Macaca fascicularis: one gene and its partners. The protein of the gene in region 1 purifies or fractionates together with the protein of each later gene. This does not show direct contact. Links are inferred from orthologs where the notes say so. Each region holds a gene or a part of one and is shown in the gene's direction. Other genes may lie near its edges.

The links. The genes of interacting proteins can lie anywhere in the genome.
Region 2: the proteins of PML (region 1) and RPL11 purify together in Homo sapiens (affinity purification with western blotting; 3 studies listed by BioGRID, with this or other methods). This does not show direct contact. The link is inferred for Macaca fascicularis from reciprocal best matches to the Homo sapiens genes PML and RPL11.
Region 3: the proteins of PML (region 1) and ZFYVE9 purify together in Homo sapiens (affinity purification with western blotting; 3 studies listed by BioGRID and IntAct, with this or other methods). This does not show direct contact. The link is inferred for Macaca fascicularis from reciprocal best matches to the Homo sapiens genes PML and ZFYVE9.

What each region holds. Positions count from the first base shown.
Region 1 is NC_088381.1:50,970,265-50,975,281, forward strand, and holds the end of PML (protein PML), read left to right. Parts: intron 1-585; coding exon 586-1,373; 3' UTR 1,374-3,124; downstream 3,125-5,017.
Region 2 is NC_088375.1:211,420,958-211,427,428, reverse strand, and holds the start of RPL11 (large ribosomal subunit protein uL5), read left to right. Parts: upstream 1-2,409; 5' UTR 2,410-2,432; coding exon 2,433-2,438; intron 2,439-3,199; coding exon 3,200-3,350; intron 3,351-4,374; coding exon 4,375-4,481; intron 4,482-5,493; coding exon 5,494-5,625; intron 5,626-6,471.
Region 3 is NC_088375.1:182,580,153-182,586,571, reverse strand, and holds the start of ZFYVE9 (zinc finger FYVE domain-containing protein 9), read left to right. Parts: upstream 1-2,357; 5' UTR 2,358-2,500; coding exon of another isoform or gene 2,501-3,354; intron 3,355-3,502; coding exon of another isoform or gene 3,503-3,620; intron 3,621-6,419. Other genes in the region: uncharacterized protein, read right to left, coding at 2,216-2,257, 2,501-3,354, 3,503-3,620. UniProt on the Homo sapiens protein: Early endosomal protein that functions to recruit SMAD2/SMAD3 to intracellular membranes and to the TGF-beta receptor.

The sequences.
Region 1 (5,017 bases):
AATGCCCCTCCTTGAGCCAGAGCCCCAGGCCCTACCCTGTGGCATGGACTCAACATTGGGGCTAGCCCAGCCAGACAGAAACAGCAAGTGTTTTCATGGTACAGGAAAGTTATTTGCAGACCTCAGTGGGAGGCTCTGGGCCTTGCTCTGAGTGGAGTGCTGTCTACGTCCCAGGGCTCTAACTGGGCTGGCGTCCTTGAGGGAATTGGAGGAAGGAGCATGGGATGGAGAGCTAAGTTCAGACAGCTTGGGATCTCTAGTGTAAGTGGCTGAGGCTGACAGAAGACAGGAGGGACCTGGATCCATGGAGTTTGGCCAACTCTGGGGCTGGTAGTGAAGAAGGGGAGAGCTGGATCCCCAGCTGGTGAACAAGGTGTTTGGAGGGCAGCCGAGCCTCCCCTTCTGACTGCTATCCCATCAGAACCAGGGTCAGAGCTGCATTTGGGGGCTGATGTGTGGCTACTGCCAGCAGGCCCCAAGGTGAGGTCTCTAGATAGTGGGTCAGCAGCCCTAGAGGACCCCCTGCTCCCACTCCAGAGCTCTCTGTGCCCCTGGGTCCTCACCCTGCCCTTCTCTCCTGCCCAGCCCAGAAGATTAGCCAGCTGGCTGCAGTGAACCAGGAAAGCAAGTTCCGCGTGGTCATCCAGCCCGAAGCCTTCTTCAGCATCTACTCCAAAGCCGTGTCCCTGGAGGTGGGGCTGCAGCACTTCCTCAGCTTTCTGAGCTCCATGCGCCGCCCTATCTTGGCCTGTTACAAGCTGTGGGGGCCTGGCCTCCCGAACTTCTTCCAGGCCCTGGAGGACATTAACAGGCTCTGGGAATTCCAGGAGGCCATCTCGGGCTTCCTCGCTGCCCTGCCCCTCATCCAGGAGCGTGTGCCCGGGGCCAGCAGCTTCAAACTCAAGAACCTGGCCCAGACCTACCTAGCAAGAAACATGAGCGAGCACAGTGCCATGGCTGCCGTGCTGGCCATGCGTGACCTGTGCCGCCTCATCGAGGTCTCCCCGGGCCCCCAGCTGGCCCAGCATGTCTACCCCTTCAGTAACCTGCAGTGCTTTGCCTCCCTGCAGCCCCTGGTGCAGGCGGCTGTGCTGCCCCGGGCTGAGGCCCGCCTCCTGGCCCTCCGCAATGTGAGCTTCATGGAGCTGCTGAGCGCACACCGCCGTGACCGGAAGGGGGGCCTGAAGAAGTACAGCCGCTACCTGAGCCTGCGGACCACCGCGTTGCCCCCTGCCCAGCCTGCTTTCAACCTGCAGGCTCTGGGTACCTACTTTGAAGGCCTGTTGGAGGGTCTGGCGCTGGCACAGGCTGAAGGAGTCTGCACCCCTCTTGCTGGCCATGGCTTGGCAGAGAGGGCTTCTCAGCAGAGCTGAGAGGAGGGGGTGACCATCTTGGAGTCTCTGGTGGGCAGAGAGGGATGGGGTCCCTGAGCCAGGCCCCACCCATCACAGCATTCCCAGGTCCTGGTACCCAGCCCTCAGTTGTCATTTGGTTCAGAATCAATTCCCTTTCTCTGGGACCAAATTTCTCTTCTCTAAAAATCCTACAGAGAAGGTTCCAAAGCTGAGCACCCACTACCCCAGGTGTGCACCAGACTCCTAGCCCCCTCCTTCCAGGAGCCAGAACCAGGGAGGTCTGGAGTGAGGAAGTCATGACCTCTGGGCTCTCTAGGTGGCCCTGGTCTTGCCCCATCCATCCCACCTGCCACTACCTTGGGTGTCCTTACAGCTCAGTCCTGACCCCAGCCCCTGCCCCAGGACACCTGTTGACAGCTCCCACAGAGAACAGTCTGAGGTGATGCTGGCTACAGCCCCAGCAGCCCATGGCAACTCAAAGTGCCTTCCAAACCAAACTGCCCCTCATGAGGTTAGGGTCCCCCACCCTCCACCTGCCCAGAGGCCAACTCTGTTCCCTTCTTTCATCCCAGAGGGGCCTCATCAACAAAGACAGAAACTGATGTTCCATGCACGTCCCTGCTTCCAAAGCCTGACCTTCCAAAGCTTGCTTCCTTCCTCCTGGCTGCACAGACACCTCTACTTGGCCACAGCTTTGCTCTTTGGTCCTCAGGCCACCAGACCCCTCACAGCATGGCCCTTGGCTCTTCCTGCACTGCCCTCACCCTCAGCCGTCCCAAGGAGTGCCCAGCACTACTCAGTATGTAGTCCAGGACCTGCGGCATTAGCATCCCCTGGGAGCTTCTTAGAAAGGCAGACCCGTGGACTCTACTGCAGGCCTCTGGAATCAGAATCTTCAGGGTGGGGCCCAGCAGTCTGTGTTTTAACAGGTTCTCCTGGTGATGCTGGTGCATGCTCAAGTTTGAGAACCGCTGCTCTCATAGACAGCTCCTCCAAGGGGAAGCAGTGTGGGACAGGAGAGAAAGTCCCGTCCCTATCTCTGACTGCGCAGTGAGTGTGGCCTAGGAACAGGCCCCTTCCTAAGCTCTAATGTCCCCATCTGTAAAGTGGACTGATTGGCCTCCATGGTCTCAGAGCTGCCATCCCTCTGTGCCATCCTGCAGTTTTGGGAATGGAAAGCAGGCCTCTGAGGCAGTGGACAGGAAGCTTTCTCATCCTTGAATTCTAGCTCCCATTCCAAACTGTGAGTCCCCAGCATTGTGGTCACATCAGAGGTCAACAGCAGAGCAGAGGCAGGTCGGGGTTGTCCTCTCTGATTAGCAGAACAACGGACCCTTCCTCCTCCTCCCTCCCTCCCATCCCTTCTCATTGGCTCCCTGCTCCTGGGATGCTTTCCAAGACCTCTAGCCTCCATGGCTGATGACCTCAGCTTTCACATAGGTGAAATGTGTGTGCCCATACTGCAGCTCCATCCCATGGGGGCCCTGAAGACCCACTGAGGAATTCCACAGGGTCTTGTTCCCACAATTGGAGTGCTGGCTCTAACAGTGAACTTTGATGCATTTAAAATAAGATTCTGATGCCAGACTGTTAAAGCAGGCGCTGGTTCTGAAGCACCGATGGAAATAGATTGATGCAGATGGAAGGAGGAAGGGAGACTGGGCCCACTGATTTCCAGCCCCACCATGTGCGCTGTTTTCAGATGTGACTGAGGGGTGTTCTGCCTGCCTCCACTGTCACAGTCTTTAATAAAGATGTAAATCTTGAAAGCCTGATGCTCCAATCACAGACTCTGCTCAGCACCCCCAGAGGAACCACTGAGAAGCCTTTTGCCTGGATAGGAGGGGGCTCTCCCAGGCATAGGCTTGTGGCCACTTGTCCAGCACAACTGTGTTTTGTGGGGCGTCTTTTAGGACTTAGCAGAGCTGAGAGCCCTTTGTTGCTCAGTGCTGTGAGCCTTAAGCATGTGAACCCCCATAGGACAAGTGGGGAGACCCAGGGTAGGCTTGCCTTGGGATCATCTCCAAATGGGAGTGCCACATGGAGGGAAAGAAACACCGATTTCAAGAATTACTTCCTAGAGAAAGTCAGGAACCAGAGACCAGAGTCTGCAGGAACTTTGCCACTGCCCCTCACTGGCTAGTCCTGTACTTCTCTCTGTGTTCCTTGAGTGACAAGTGGTAAAACCCTTAAAAAGGGAGGTGGAGGCCCAGGACTTTGGTAACAGGTGATGAATGTGTTGTCTTGGCCATCACAGATGGAACTTCAGTTAGTACCCGAGGGATTCCCATGGCACAAGCATTACAGGAATTAGTCCACCACTGGTGTGGGTGAGCAGCCAGGTAATGGGAATTGATCAGTGCCACCACCCTTGACCCCAACTACCATCCCAGATGCCCAGATTCCAGTCCTGGAGTTTTATTCTCAGCTTGACCCTTTGACCAAGAAGATCCAGTCCCAATACGTCACCTGTGCTTCATCTTTGGACTATATATCTCATGTCAGCTAATGGGAACTTACTGGGTTAGAAGTCAGGATGCAGAGTTTCAATCCTCACTTGGTAGTAGTCTGTGGCCCTCTTTGGCACATTTACCTCCCTCCTTGATCCTCAGGCCACACCTCTGTCAAATGGGATAATGTGGCTCCTTTTGACTTCAAGGGATCTTTGTGGGAACCGGTGAGAAAATGTGTGTGAAGATACCTTTTTGGTGTATTTTGAAAGTACACAAATTTAAGATCTTACTGCTTTATAAAGTGCTTTATGAATTATAGGAAAATAAACACATTTTAGATCTTAGAAAAAAACAAAAACAAAAAAAGTGGGCTTGTCTTCAGGGTAGCAAAGAACAAAATCTGGGATGAACAAACAATTGTGGGGGTCCTGGGGTCTGAGGGAGCCAAGATCAAGGGGCCCACCATGGAGGGGCTGGGCAGGAGGTGGCACTGTGCTCCCAGAACACCCAGATGGGACATTTCAGTCACTGGGGCCCAGAGTAGAGAACAAGCTTCCTGTGTGGCAGCTCAGCCAAGCCGTGCTCCAGGGTCTCCTTCTGAGGCCCAAGGGCCTCACACCCCTGGGAAAGTCATTTAAAAATCTGCTTTGCCCCCTACCCCAACCTGGCTCTTAGCTCCAGCTGCTGTCCCAGACCTGGCCAGGCTGTTCTCCCACCCTCTACCTCCCCTTGTCTTGGCCCATGTTCACCCTTCTCCCTGCCCATGTCCACCCTTCTCCCTATCCCAGCCTCACTCTGACTCCTGGCCCCAACCCTGACCACTCTTCATGCCTCAGAGTCTCCCCCTCAGCCCAGCCCTGCCAGCAGGCCCCATCTCCTCCTCTGACCTCAGCCTTGTCTCCACCTCACACCCCAGGTGCCTCCAGCACGTATGCCTGAGTAAGGGGCTCCCTTCTCACCTTTCTTCATTCTTCACAATTAAGGAAACTCCACGGCTAGTGTGCATACCACCCAGGCTGGGATGCACCAAATGTCAAGTCAAAGAGGGTAGGACACTGGGGACCCTGCCTGGGGAGAAGGGGAGCTGAGCTAGGGCTGCTTCCAGACTCTGCCAGCAGCAGAAGCTGCAGCCCCCACACAGTGCCTGGCAAAGGGCATGAGCCACGGTGGTGCTGGTGGTGCTGGTGGTGCTGGTGGTTTAGGCTCCGT
Region 2 (6,471 bases), on another chromosome or scaffold:
ACAGAACAAGACTCCATTTCAAAAAAAAGAAAAAAGAAAGAGCAGATCCATCAGCATTGTACTGATGGATCCATCCAGCATGTGCCACTTAATGGTATACTGAAGGTGAAACAAGCAAGATCTATCACAATGAACAGAAAATTTAAGGAAACTGAATATTCAACAGGCTGGTCGCAGAATTTTTGGGGGTGTGAGGTCAGGGTCTCACTCTGTCACCCAGGCTGGAGTGCAGTGACATAAATATGGTTGACTGCAGACTCAGCCTCCTAGACTCAAGCAATCCTCCCACCTCAGCCTCCCAAGTAGCTGGGAACACACACACATACACCATTATGCCAGGCTAATAAGTTTTTTGTAGAGACAGGGTCTTGCCATGTTGCCCAGGCTGGTCGTAAACTCCTAGGCTCAAGCACCCTCCCATATTGGCCTCCCAAACTGTTGGGATTACAGGTATGAGCCACTGCACCTGGCTGGTTGCAGAAATTTAAGACGAAACATGATGTTACATCTTTAAAGATTTGTGGGCCAGGCAACACGGCAAGACCCCATCTCTTCAAAAAATTTTAAAAATTAGCCGGGCATGTTGGTGTGCACCTGTGGTTCCAGCTACGTGGGAGGCTGAGGTGGGAGGATCATGTGAGCCCAGGAGGTCATGGCTGCCATGAGCCAAGATCACACCACTACACTCCAGCCTGGACAACAGAACAAGACCGTGCCTCAAAAAATAAAAAATAAAATAAAAAAGAAAGAAAAGAAACGCAGATGACTCTGGAGGAAACATTTTAAAAAGCCATCCAGGAGAACGCCTCCTTTTCCCTAGGGGACCCACTTCCTGCTCCCACAACTGCTTCTGATGCTTCTTCTCACCTTAAAAAAAATTACAGTGTCCAGTAATCTTTTAATCAAAACACTGCATCATAGGTGGAGACTGAAAGCCTGCCATTTGTGGTAGCTGTTTTTTGTTTGTTTATTTGTTTTAAGACAGGGTATCGCTCTGTCACCCAGGCTGGAGTGCAGTGGGGTGATCTTGGCTCACTGCAAGCTTCCTCTCCCAGGTTCAAGCGATTCTCCTGCCTCAGCCTCCCGTAGCTGGGATTACAGGCATGCACCACCAGGCCCGGTTAATTTTTGTATTTTCAGTAGAAACGGGGTTTCACCCTGTTGGCCAGGCTGGTCTCGAACTCCTGACCTTAAGTGATCCACCCACCCCGGCTTCCCAAAGCGCTGGGATTACAGGTGTGAGCCACAGCGGCTGGCCTGGTGGCGGGTGGGGTGGGGGCCGGTGGTCGCTGTTGCTTCACAGCTGATCCAGGTTTTCCGGTGATGCTCCTCTGCTGCTTAGTTGCCCTGAACACATTACTTTTTCACGGTATTAATGGCATAGCATATATTTTGCTGTGAAGTACTCATATGTGAATAAGCATAAGAAAGTATTGCTTATCAGTAGCATATACATTTACAGTCTGGAACAATGGTTAGGCCAACCAACCAGAGACTGTCCACAAGGGTGGCTGAGATAGTGACACCTTTGGTTTCTGATGGTTCAATGTATACAAACTTTGTTTCATGAACAAACTTACTTAAAATATTGTATAAAATTACCTTCACACTATGTGTATAAGGTGTATATGGAACATAAGTTAATTTCATGTTCAGACTTGGGTCCCATCTCCAAGATATCTCATTACGTTTATGCAAATATTCCAAAATCCGGAAAAATCCCAAATCCAAAAACCATCTGGTCCCAGGCTTTTCAGGTTAGGAATACTCACCCTGTAGTAACTTGCCCAAGGTCACATAGCTACTAACTGATCGAGACAGGACCACATCTGCCTGTCTTCAAGCTCGGGACTCTTGAGCTACCACACCATTCCGTTTGTATAAATTCTATTTGTGCCCGGCGTGGTGGCTCACTCCTGTAATCCCAGCACTTTAGGAGGCCAAGGCAGGTGGATCATTTGAGGTCAGGAGTTCGAGACCAGCCCGACCAACATGGTGAAACCCCATCTCTACTAAAAGTACAAAAAAAATAGACAGATATGGTGGTGCGCGCCTATAATCCCAGCTACAGAATAAATTTGCGTCATAATTTGCATGATTGATTTAATGTAGTTTTGGCGGTCTCATCACACAAGCACCACCAGCACCTGACACTGGGAGGAGAGAACGTCTTCAAGGTCCGGAAACTCAAGGTCGTGCTGATTCTAGGAGCTTTCAAAAACTATTTTTGGAAAACCCAAATCCCGGTCTTCAGCCAGCGTTGCTTGCAGTTGCTAGCCCTACCCACAAGGGGGAAGCCGACGCTGCACTGCGCAGCCAAATGCGCCTCTCTTCCTCTTCTTGATCTCTGTGGTTAGCCTGGGAAAAAAGCCCGCCTCCTGGCCCATAAGGCCCTGGGCCGGAAGCTCCGTTTTCTTTTCCTGCACTCCATCATGGCGGTGAGTAGCTGGGATCTGGATTTGCTTTTCTTTATCCGTCGCCATCCATGGCAGGCCGAGCTTGCGGGGGCTACCTCGCCTGCAGCCCGAGGAGTATGGACCCCTCAATGCTTGCCGGCCCAAAACTGGCAGAGCCGTTCGAGCCAAGGACGCAGGGTTGAATTCTGTCACTTTCCCTGCCATCATTTTAGGAGCGGCTCCGGGCAGTTGCCGGGAGAGCTCAGAAGCACTGTCAGGAGGCTGCAGCTAGGGCAGATGGGGTGAATGGAGGGTTCTGAGGCAAGGGTCCGCGCCTTTTCCTGGTTCCGGGGACTTGAGACTTGCTGAGTGCTAGGAAACCTTAGCCGGGTGCTCGGCTTAGGGAAGGTGCCAGCCTTTAGACAGCTTCCGAGTGGGATGCGGAACGTCGCATAACCACGTGTTTCCTGTTAGCAGTTAAGTTCTATTCCGTCGCTTACTCCCCTTAGTTTCCCTTACAGTGGGGGCGCTCTTTGTTATCCTGAGCCTCTTAGAGTTCGATCTCAGTGTCCGTAACCTTTAACACTCAATACCTGTCCTGAGTTTTCTCTTCACCTGTTCCGTTCGTGGAGGAAGAATAGGTCCCGAGCTGACTTCGTTCCTTGATGCCTCCCAAACACGGTGATACCTTCTTCGTTACGATTTGGGATGAGCAGAAATAAAAATGCTGTGCAGATAGAAAGTAGTAAAAACTCAGGGCTCTCAGCTGTGAGTGTATTGACTGCTGCTCTTCCCCATTGCAGCAGGATCAAGGTGAAAAGGAGAACCCCATGCGGGAACTTCGCATCCGCAAGCTCTGTCTCAACATCTGTGTTGGGGAGAGTGGAGACAGACTGACCCGAGCTGCCAAGGTTTTGGAGCAGCTCACAGGGCAGACCCCTGTGTTTTCCAAAGGTGAGTAGTGACAAATGACAGGGCTACCCACTTGGGTCGCCTGTTTGTTTAATTTACCTGCTGTCGAGTCTGTTTAGAAAGTGACAGTCGGCATCACTTAAAGCGTTAAATTCATGAGCCGACCAAAAAGTGTCTTTGTTTTCGAGATTGCATGTGGGATTGGAACACTGGATTTTATATGAGCAGATCTTAAGCTAAGGCTAGCCCAAGTAAAGATTTTCCCAAGTAACTAGGATATGAGATAGAGTGGAAATATCAGGAACGAAGTAAAGATCATTAGATCTGATTAGCAGTTAGGGTTATATAGGCTGCCTTAAGAACAGGGCTGTACAGGAGCATGAGAGGCTTCAGTGGCCTATGATAGTGCTACTGCACTACAGCCTGGTTGACCCTATCTCAAAAGTTGTATACAGATTGCCTGGGTTTGAGTGATGGCTTCACCACTTGCTGGTCTGACTCTGGGCTCTCTGGACCTCTGCTTTTTTATTTGCATAAAGAGGGTGTAATACTTGATAATTGTGGAAGATAAAATGAGTTGTATATGTGCCGTTGCTTTAGGATGGTGAAATGTGGCAAGTCTTTGGATTCCAATCCTGCTTTTTATTACCAGTTGTGCAAGTTAATAAACCTCTCAAAACCTCACGTATAAAATGTGGACAACAGTATAATAATAAGGTTTTAGCAAGTACTAGATTATTGTCAATAATGCTTTATTTTCTTTGGACCATGATAATCTTACTAGTGACTTCTTTGGCTTATTCTGGTTGTGAACTTGCCCTTCTTGGAACTTTGGCATTATGACTGTTCTTAACTGCTGAAGGATGGCTGGATGTCTGGAAATGGGAAAATCTGCTGTGGATGAAATCTTATTAATAGATGTAGGCGACACTAATTAGAACACCACAACTTAGAGTGTGGATGAATACTTAATGCCTCTTTAAGTCATGGAGATGGTGTTCTGGGAAGGAGGTGAGTGTAGTGGGGGTGTGATGGCATCTGACTCCTTGTTACCCCCTTTCTGCAGCTAGATACACTGTCAGGTCCTTTGGCATCCGGAGAAATGAAAAGATTGCTGTCCACTGCACAGTTCGAGGGGCCAAGGCAGAAGAAATCTTGGAGAAGGGTCTAAAGGTGAGGCTAATCCCCTAATGGAGTGATATTAATGAGCACCCACTTAATAACACAAGTAGATAAGTTACATTTAATGTTCTGTTCTTTGGTGCCTTGACATTTATTATTTAAGTTTCTAAAATACTTTTTACAATCAGCAGGGTTAAACTATTCTTGGTGGTTTAAGAGATGCTTGAGGCTGGGCACAGTGGCTCTACGCCTATAATCCCAACACTTTGGGAGGCCAAGGAGGATAGATTATTTGTGGCCAGGAGTTCGAGACCATCCTGGCCAATATGGTGAAACACCATCTCTACTAAAAATATAAAAATTAGCCAGACTTGGTCGCGGGCGCCTATAGTCCCAGCTACTCGGGAGGCTGAGGCATGAAAATTGCTTGAACCCGGGAGGTAGAGGTTGCAGTGAGCTGAGATTGTGCCACTGCACTCCAGCGTAGGCCACAGAGTGAAACTCTTGTCCAAAAAAAAAGGATGCTTGGGAGTCATTTCACTCCTCTGCTTTCTCTGGGTTTTTCTCTGTTCTTTGGAAGCTGGGAGAGGTCATTTTGGGTAGTTGGGGTGTAGTGAGGAAGTCAGATTGTGTTCCTAGCCAAGTTTTATTGACTTTTTTTTTTTTGAGACGGAGTCTCGCTCTGTCACCCAGGCTGGAGTGCAGTGGCCGGATCTCAGCTCACTGCAAACACCGCCTCCCGGGTTTACGCCATTCTCCTGCCTCAGCCTCCCAAGCTGCTGGGACTATAGGCACCCGCCACCTCGCCCGGCTAGTTTTTTGTATTTTTTAGTAGAGACGGGGTTTCACCGTGTTAGCCAGGATGGTCTCGATCTCCTGACCTCGTGATCCGCCCGTCTCGGCCTCCCAAAGTGCTGGGATTACAGGCTGGAGCCACCGCGCCCGGCCTATTGACTTCTGTTTTTGCTCTGGGGTGCATGTTGCAGACTGAGCTATTAATAGTTATTTGGGGGTGGGAGGGAGATGATGACGAGGAATGTTATTGCTGCATTTTTCTCCACAGGTGCGGGAGTATGAGTTAAGAAAAAACAACTTCTCAGATACTGGAAACTTTGGTTTTGGGATCCAGGAACACATCGATCTGGGCATCAAGTATGACCCAAGCATTGGTATCTACGGCCTGGACTTCTATGTGGTATGAATATTTCATCTTTTCCCGCTCCTGGTCTGTGAGGAGAGGGGAATCTTTATTTTATTTCATATGTGGTATGTTGGTGTTCACATGTTGAGTTGCAGCTTTGAATATTGTCTGCCTTTGTGTTCTCCTCCCTGTTGGGAATATGTGCCTCATTTGTGGCAAGTGTAGGGGTGCAGCACTGAACAAGATGGACAAGATCCCTGCTGTTGGAGAGCTTGCAGTCCAGGATCTGTAAAGCACCCACATGGCTTAAAGGTGGATGAAGGAAACTGTTCCCTCCAGCCAGTGATTTGAAACTTTGGAGAGAGGCAGTATTGGTGCCACATTTGGTCTGTGGTTTGGCTGCACTGAGGCTCTTCTTCCCCTGATTCTTCCTATAGAAACAGCTTTGGGTGATGCAGTGGTTTGATCAGGAAGGGGGTTTTAACATAGAAATGACCTTTTGTGTTACTGCCGTGTTTTGGTCCAACAATAAAAACTGAATAGCCTAAATCAGAAGTCCTGACTAGCGTGGAACCTGAAAGATGGTGACACCCTCATTAGACAGACAAGTAATAAGAATTGGATATTAACAGGATGTTGGAGGAACCGCACACCTTTGGGAAGCACTTTTGAGCTGAAGCAGAAGGAAGAAAATATAGATATATATTTGTGCTTCTCAGAGTTTTATGTTTTCTACACTGCTGGTGTGGCTATAGATTTTTAAATGTTATTTTTTAAAATGTTTTGGAGATTGGGGAGCAGGAATGGAGGATCCTCAGCACCACTGGAAGATAGGCTGGGGTTGGGGGGAGGTGCTGAAAGTTCCAGCCTCCATAGCAAACCTATAGTATGGCTGTGTGT
Region 3 (6,419 bases), on another chromosome or scaffold:
ATTTATTGAGCATATTTACTAGATCAAAGTGAGTGGCAGTGGAGTTGGACAGGAGAAGAGAAATTTAAAAAGCAAAAAAGTAAAATTTATCAGGCTTTGTAACTACTTGCCCAGGAGAAAGAGGCAAGAGTTAAGAATGAATCCAAGATTTTTGGCTTGGGCACCTGGGTGGATGATGGTGCCATTCACCAAGTCAGGAAACAGGTATCTTTTTGGCCTGAATTTTAAAAACTAATTTTAAAGAGCAAAGAATATTTTGCTTGGGGTGCTAGAGCTTAAACTCTGTTGAAAAAAAAATTCTTAGAATATTGGCTTTCTACAGGATGTAGACAGTATAAAAATGAAAGTGGGGAGGTCTACCAGGTTGGGAATACAGAGACATTTTACAGTTGCTAGCTAATAGTGGAAATCAATGCAAAATTGAGAGTAGGGTAGCCAAATCAATTGACAGAAGGCCAAAGTAGATTAAAATGAACAAGAGATTTACAGTAGAAGAGAGGAAAACAGGTGAGAGACATTTTAGGAGCAGAAGGCAAACTGAAAACGATGGAATGAAATTGTAGAGTATGAAAGGATTTAAAGTGGACTACTCTGATCGGGGAGGAGGTGGTGATGATAAAGGCAGCTGCTTTCAGCAACAAGGAGAGAAAGTGTGAAGCAAGAGGAAACTGGTCTTGGGAACAAATGAATCATCTTCTTCATGTAGTAGCTATGCCCTGGGTTGCATGATTATTCATAAACAAATGCAGGTTTCCTGTGGTGGCAGTGATCTAGGCATGAAAAATACAGTGCTAATATTAGGTTACAGAGTTAATGATCTCAATCAGTAGAAGGGCCCATTTCTCTCGACTGAAAATTTTGTAGCAACAAATGACCCTTACAGCATTTTATTAATATTGCTGAAAGCACTGTTGGGGCATCAGGTTGGGGACTGAAGGGAATCTCAGGGTCTACTTACAGCTTTTCCTTAGGTTGGATGTATTTCACATGTAAAATGGTGGTAGCATAGCACCTAATTCATAGAATCACTGCGAGGATGAATCACGGTTTCCCTTAGAGCCCCAGTTTCTCTTGTTATAGAAAGGGTATAGTGATTTTTTTGTGACTCAGGAGTATGTGGCAAAGGCACAGTTAGGATTATACAGGAACAGCTTTCATTAAGAGAGCTACTAGGTGACAGCTTCTCTGTGGTGGCTGCTCAATTATTAAATGAATGATTCCTGTAGTTTCTCATTATTATTTATCATCATTAGGCCATAACCTAAGGTAAGGTGAGATTGCCTTATAACATTTTTTATACATAAAAAATACTGGTTGCATGCTGATATCTGCTGTACAATAGAATGTCATAGGATCCAGTGCATGAGGCTCTATTCTTCTGTAGAGGGGTGTTACATAAACCCATTAGTGAAATTTAGGGAAGTTGCACCCAGACTAGGGAGGATGAAGAATGGAGCATCCATCTTTTGATAGGAATACACTTACACACACACATATACACACACACACACACACACACACACACACAGAGAATGAGAAACAAAAACAGATGAGTACAAAATTGAGCCTAAGAAAAAGAACTGGAACCAATAAAAATTGGAACTAGCATTTATTGAGTATCTTCTATGGGCCAGTCTCTTTATCTCCAATCTGCACAACAACCAGCAAGGCAGGCAGGAGAAAACTGAGGTTCAAAAATGTTACATAACTTGCCCAGGGTCATAAAGCTATAGATGACAGAACTGGAACTGGTAGTGTCAGTATGCGTCTGACACCAAAGTCACTACACATTCTAATATACCACCACTCTGTCAAAAAAGTGTATTTGGAAAATTTGGGGATCAGAGGATTTGGAGAATTATCTTTCCCTACTTCCCCTTTGACAGTCTTGTTTGTTTTTGGTTCTGACGTTTGCACCCTAGAGGCTGATTGGGATCAAATATGGGGCATCTGTAAACAGAATGATTCCATAGCCCCCACTGTGTAATAATTTCCTTCCTTCAGAGCATTACTAGGATTCGGCTGGGATGAGGGGTGGAGGTGGGAGAGAAGAGGTTGGGACGGGGAGGGTGTTAGTAAAAGATGGGTGATTCTTTGCTTACCTTTAAGTTGTTTATGAATTTCAGGACAACCCTTTGGCTATTCTCTTCTCTGGCTGGGCATATATATACATATATATTTTCATATTTGTTTTGTGGGGGTGGTGGTTTAGGTGTTAAGGGTTTGGTTGGTATCTGTAGAAAATTTCTGTAATGATCTACACAGTGGATAAAAAAAAAAAGTTAAGGTCAAAGACAATTCCTTCGTCTGTTTTGGGAGAGGAGTGTGTATATGTTTGAAAAAAAGGTTTGTTCTGGGTCACTCTTCTTTCATCCAGACGCATTAAAGGGATTAGAACGGGGTCTCCCCGCCACCCCCGAAGCCGGGAGAGACAAACGAAGGGATTCCCTTACATTCCTGCTCTCAGGTGCGGGTCCGAGTGACAAGAACGTTCACGTACCTTCGGGAGAGAAGGAAAAGGTGCTCGGGTCTGGCGGGGGGCGGGGAACGTCAAGGGTTTGGTGGGAACTGAGGGGCTTCCGGTTCCCGGGAAGTGGAGTCCCCGGCCGGCCGCGGGCCGCGGGCTGCGCAGGGAGCGCGGGGCCCTCGCCGCCCCCAGGCCGCGCTCCTTAGCGTTCCCTGCGGCTCGTGCCCGGCGCGGCCGCCGCAGTCCCGACGCCGTAGCCGGACGTGGGGTCCAGGGGGCGCTGTGGCCCAGCGGCGCCGGCGGCAGGAGCGGCCACCCGACGCTGGAGGCTTCGCTGAGGATCCTCGCCTGCTGCACCTCGGTCGTCCCGCCGCAGCCTTGCGCCCCCGGCCTGGCTCGGCGGCGCTCCTCCGGGATCCGCGTGGCTGCCGCGGCCCGGGCGCCGATGCGGCTGGGCGGGTGCCGGGCCTTAGCAGCTGTAGCAGTAGCAGCCGCAGCCGCAGCTACCGCAGCTCCTACAGGAGTGGGAGGTTTCGCGGTGGCGCCTGGGGCCGCGCCGGTGCCCTCCGGAGGAGGCTTTCGGCTCAGGGACGACCCCCCTGGCCATGCTGAAGCGCAGGCGGCCGCTGCTCGAGGTGAGTGTGGCGCGGCGCGGTCCGGGGCTCGCCCGCCTCCCGCCGCTTGTGGGGGCCTTGGCGGCAGCCTTCGGGCCGGGCGGACGGGGCGTCCTGCCACTGCGGCCGCCTCCCCCACTCTGCGGTCCTGGGGCCTCAGCCCTTTCTGCCTGCGTCCCCCGGGAGGCTGAAGGCCGTGGGGGGCGACTAGGCCCCGCGCCGTTGGGAAGCCCTCGCCCCGGCCTCGGTTCCGGCGCGGCCCGGTGTGTGGAGCTGGGGGCCGGCAGGAGCACGGCCGCCTTTCGGGTTTGCACGGGCCCGGGCCGAGCGCAGCCTCTTAGCCTGGGCCCTGCACGTACATCCCAGAGGGAGGTAGATGACGCCTGTTTGCAAACAGCTTTGGCTTCCCCGCGTCCCATACCGAGTACCTCAGAATCCCGGTAGTGGCGGGGGAATGGGGAGGAGAAGGCGGCCAGGGTGAGAATTGGGGTGCAGAGAGTGCGGGACCAAGAGAGCCCGTGGTACTCCTGGAGTGTCATTCATGGATCTGACTTGCTCGAGAACAACCTTTTGCGTCTTATTTGAGGTGAAATTTCATCACCTGCCGGTTGCTCAGCCCAGCCTCCTTGTATTGTATCTTGTCTCTAAGCGTGGTCTGCCTTGGAGAAAGCCCCATCGCATCTTTGCGATGCTAAGTTTTCTAGATAAACACTCACAGTTATAAAAACGTCTTTTACAAAGGTCTGTCCTCCCCCCCACCCCCCGCCGCCAGAGGAAATATTTTTATGCTTCAGTGTTCGGTACGAAAATGTTCCACTTAAAGAGATCCAGATAATGGTTGGCAAGAGGATTTTAAGTCCTCTTTAAGTGCCAGCTACTCTAATAAATACCTGAAGGAAATGGGACACATACTAAATTTTAGAAATAAAATGATTTGTTCTGATATTAATGTTGGAAAATGTTAGTACTTACAGTTTGATACCGTAAGTCAGATATTTATGTTTCGTGAGAAATGTGATTACAGGTTATTCCTGGTTTCCTGTTATGTGTGTGAAAGTTATAAGACTTATAGGTACTTGCAAAACTTTTATAATCATGAAAAAATATGCTTTTTGTAGAAAATTTGGAAAGTATGGAAAGGTACCGTGTTGGCTCTTAATAAATAATAATAGGAGAAATCACCCATAATCTCACAGATTGTAAACAGTACAGGTTTATAATGGGCTTGTACTGACAGTGATTTTTAAAATTATTTCTGTATATTAGGTTTAAAATTATCTGACTGCTCCATTTTACATTGCCATTTGTATAGGACCTATAAAAATATTTTACCAAATTACATTGGAACCGTAGTTGAATTCATCAATTGAAACAGAAGAATATGGGTAACTACCTAAAAGATCCCTAACTTAACTTTCTATGCAGCATGGGGTCTCCATGTAGGGAGAAAGTTTGGCATGGTACACGTTTTTGAAGATCTACTGTCTTACATGCTGTAGGCTTGCATTGTTTTTGTCAGATTTTAAGTATTTCTGTTAATTATTGGCTTGATTACCAGTTATTTTGGTAGGTTAATTTAGATTTTTAAAAGTCTAATTCAGGCAAAGTGTGATGGCTAGGCCTACTGGGGAGGCTGAATTGGGAGGACCCCTTGATCCTAGGAGTTCCAGTCCGGCCTGGGCAATGTAAGCAAGATGCCCCCCTCCGAGGCAGGTGGATCACGAGGTCAGAAGTTCGAGACCAGCCTGGCCAATATGGTGAAACCCCGTCTCTACTAAAAATAAAAAAAATTAGCCGGGTGTTGTGGCACGCACCTGTAGCCCCAGCTACTCTGGAGGCTGAGGCATGAAATCATTTGAACCCGGGAGGCAGACGTTGCAGTGAGCCTAGATTGGGCCACTGACTCCAACCTGGGCAACAGAGCGATACTCCATTCGAATACAGTTCGAATTCAGTCGAATACAGTTCTCAGTGTGTCCCTAAAGACCACCAACATTAGAATCAGTTGAGAGTGCTTGTTATATATATAACATAGGTATTATATGTAATATATGGATTCTTGGTCCCTTGAATTGAAATTCTAGGGATGACAATGGCCCAAAGAACTTTATTTTTATCAGTCTCCCTGATTCTTAGGCCTACTGAAGTTTGAGAATCACTGATACAGTAAATTTAAAATTAACTAACCTTGCTGAGCCGAAGGAAGGTGTCTGTTTTCTAGCAAAATTACAAATCTTTAGTGGCAATAGTCATTTCTTTTTTTTTTTTTTTCCCACTTCCTTGCAGCTCCAGCTCAAAGGATGTCATTTCTCGTAGTAAATAATCTTAGAAAGAAAAATGATATTTTGAGGGACAGCTAATCCAATCAGCAACCATTTATTGAGAGCCTCCTGTGATAGCTGTGGTGTGATAGAACACCTCGTTATTTACTTTGGCACTTAATGGACACCAATGTCATTGTCTATAAAATGCATATACTTCAGTTATTATGCTTACCTTGCAAGGCTTTTAGGATAAATACATCTGAAAAGGTATTACAATCTGTAAAATATTTTTATGGAGTTTTGGCTTTTAAGTGCCAGATCCTGTTGTAGGTATTCTGGGAAACACAAAAATGACCAAGGGCTCTACTAAACTTGTCCTGTGGAAGCAGAATACCTTTAATTAACTGTTACAAGGTAGGTCAGACAAGTGTTGTAATTGAGTGGAACGTACTAAATCTCTGTTTAAGGCGTCTGTGTCTCATCTTGCCCTTTAAGGACATTGATAATAATTTTTATATATGATTATTCCTTTCTCTTCCAATTCCTGATTCAGTGTTTTGTTTAAGGAAATAATTGTTTATTTTGCCTGGTGATAGTTTCGTATTAACTCCTTTAGAAAGGTAGAGTGAGTAGAGATGGTAATTCCTTCCTCTGTTGCTAAGCTACCACCGTTCATTCCATTCAGTAAACTTTTATTTGGCACCTTGTTAACGTGCTAGCCACAGACTGGTTGCAAGGCACAAAGCTTGTTTAAAAGATAATTGCCTGAGGCCGGGCGCGGTGGCTCAAGCCTGTAATCCCAGCACTTTGGGAGGCCGAGACGGGCGGATCACGAGGTCAGGAGATCGAGACCATCCTGGCTAACACCGTGAAACCCCGTCTCTACTAAAAAATACAAAAAAAACTAGCCGGGCGAGGTGGCGGGCACCTGTAGTCCCAGCTACTCGGGAGGCTGAGGCAGGAGAATGGCGTAAACCTGGGAGGCGGAGCTTGCAGTGAGCTGAGATCCGGCCACTGCACTCCAACCTGGGCGACAGAGCGAGACTCCATCTCAAAAAAAAAAAAAAAAAAAAA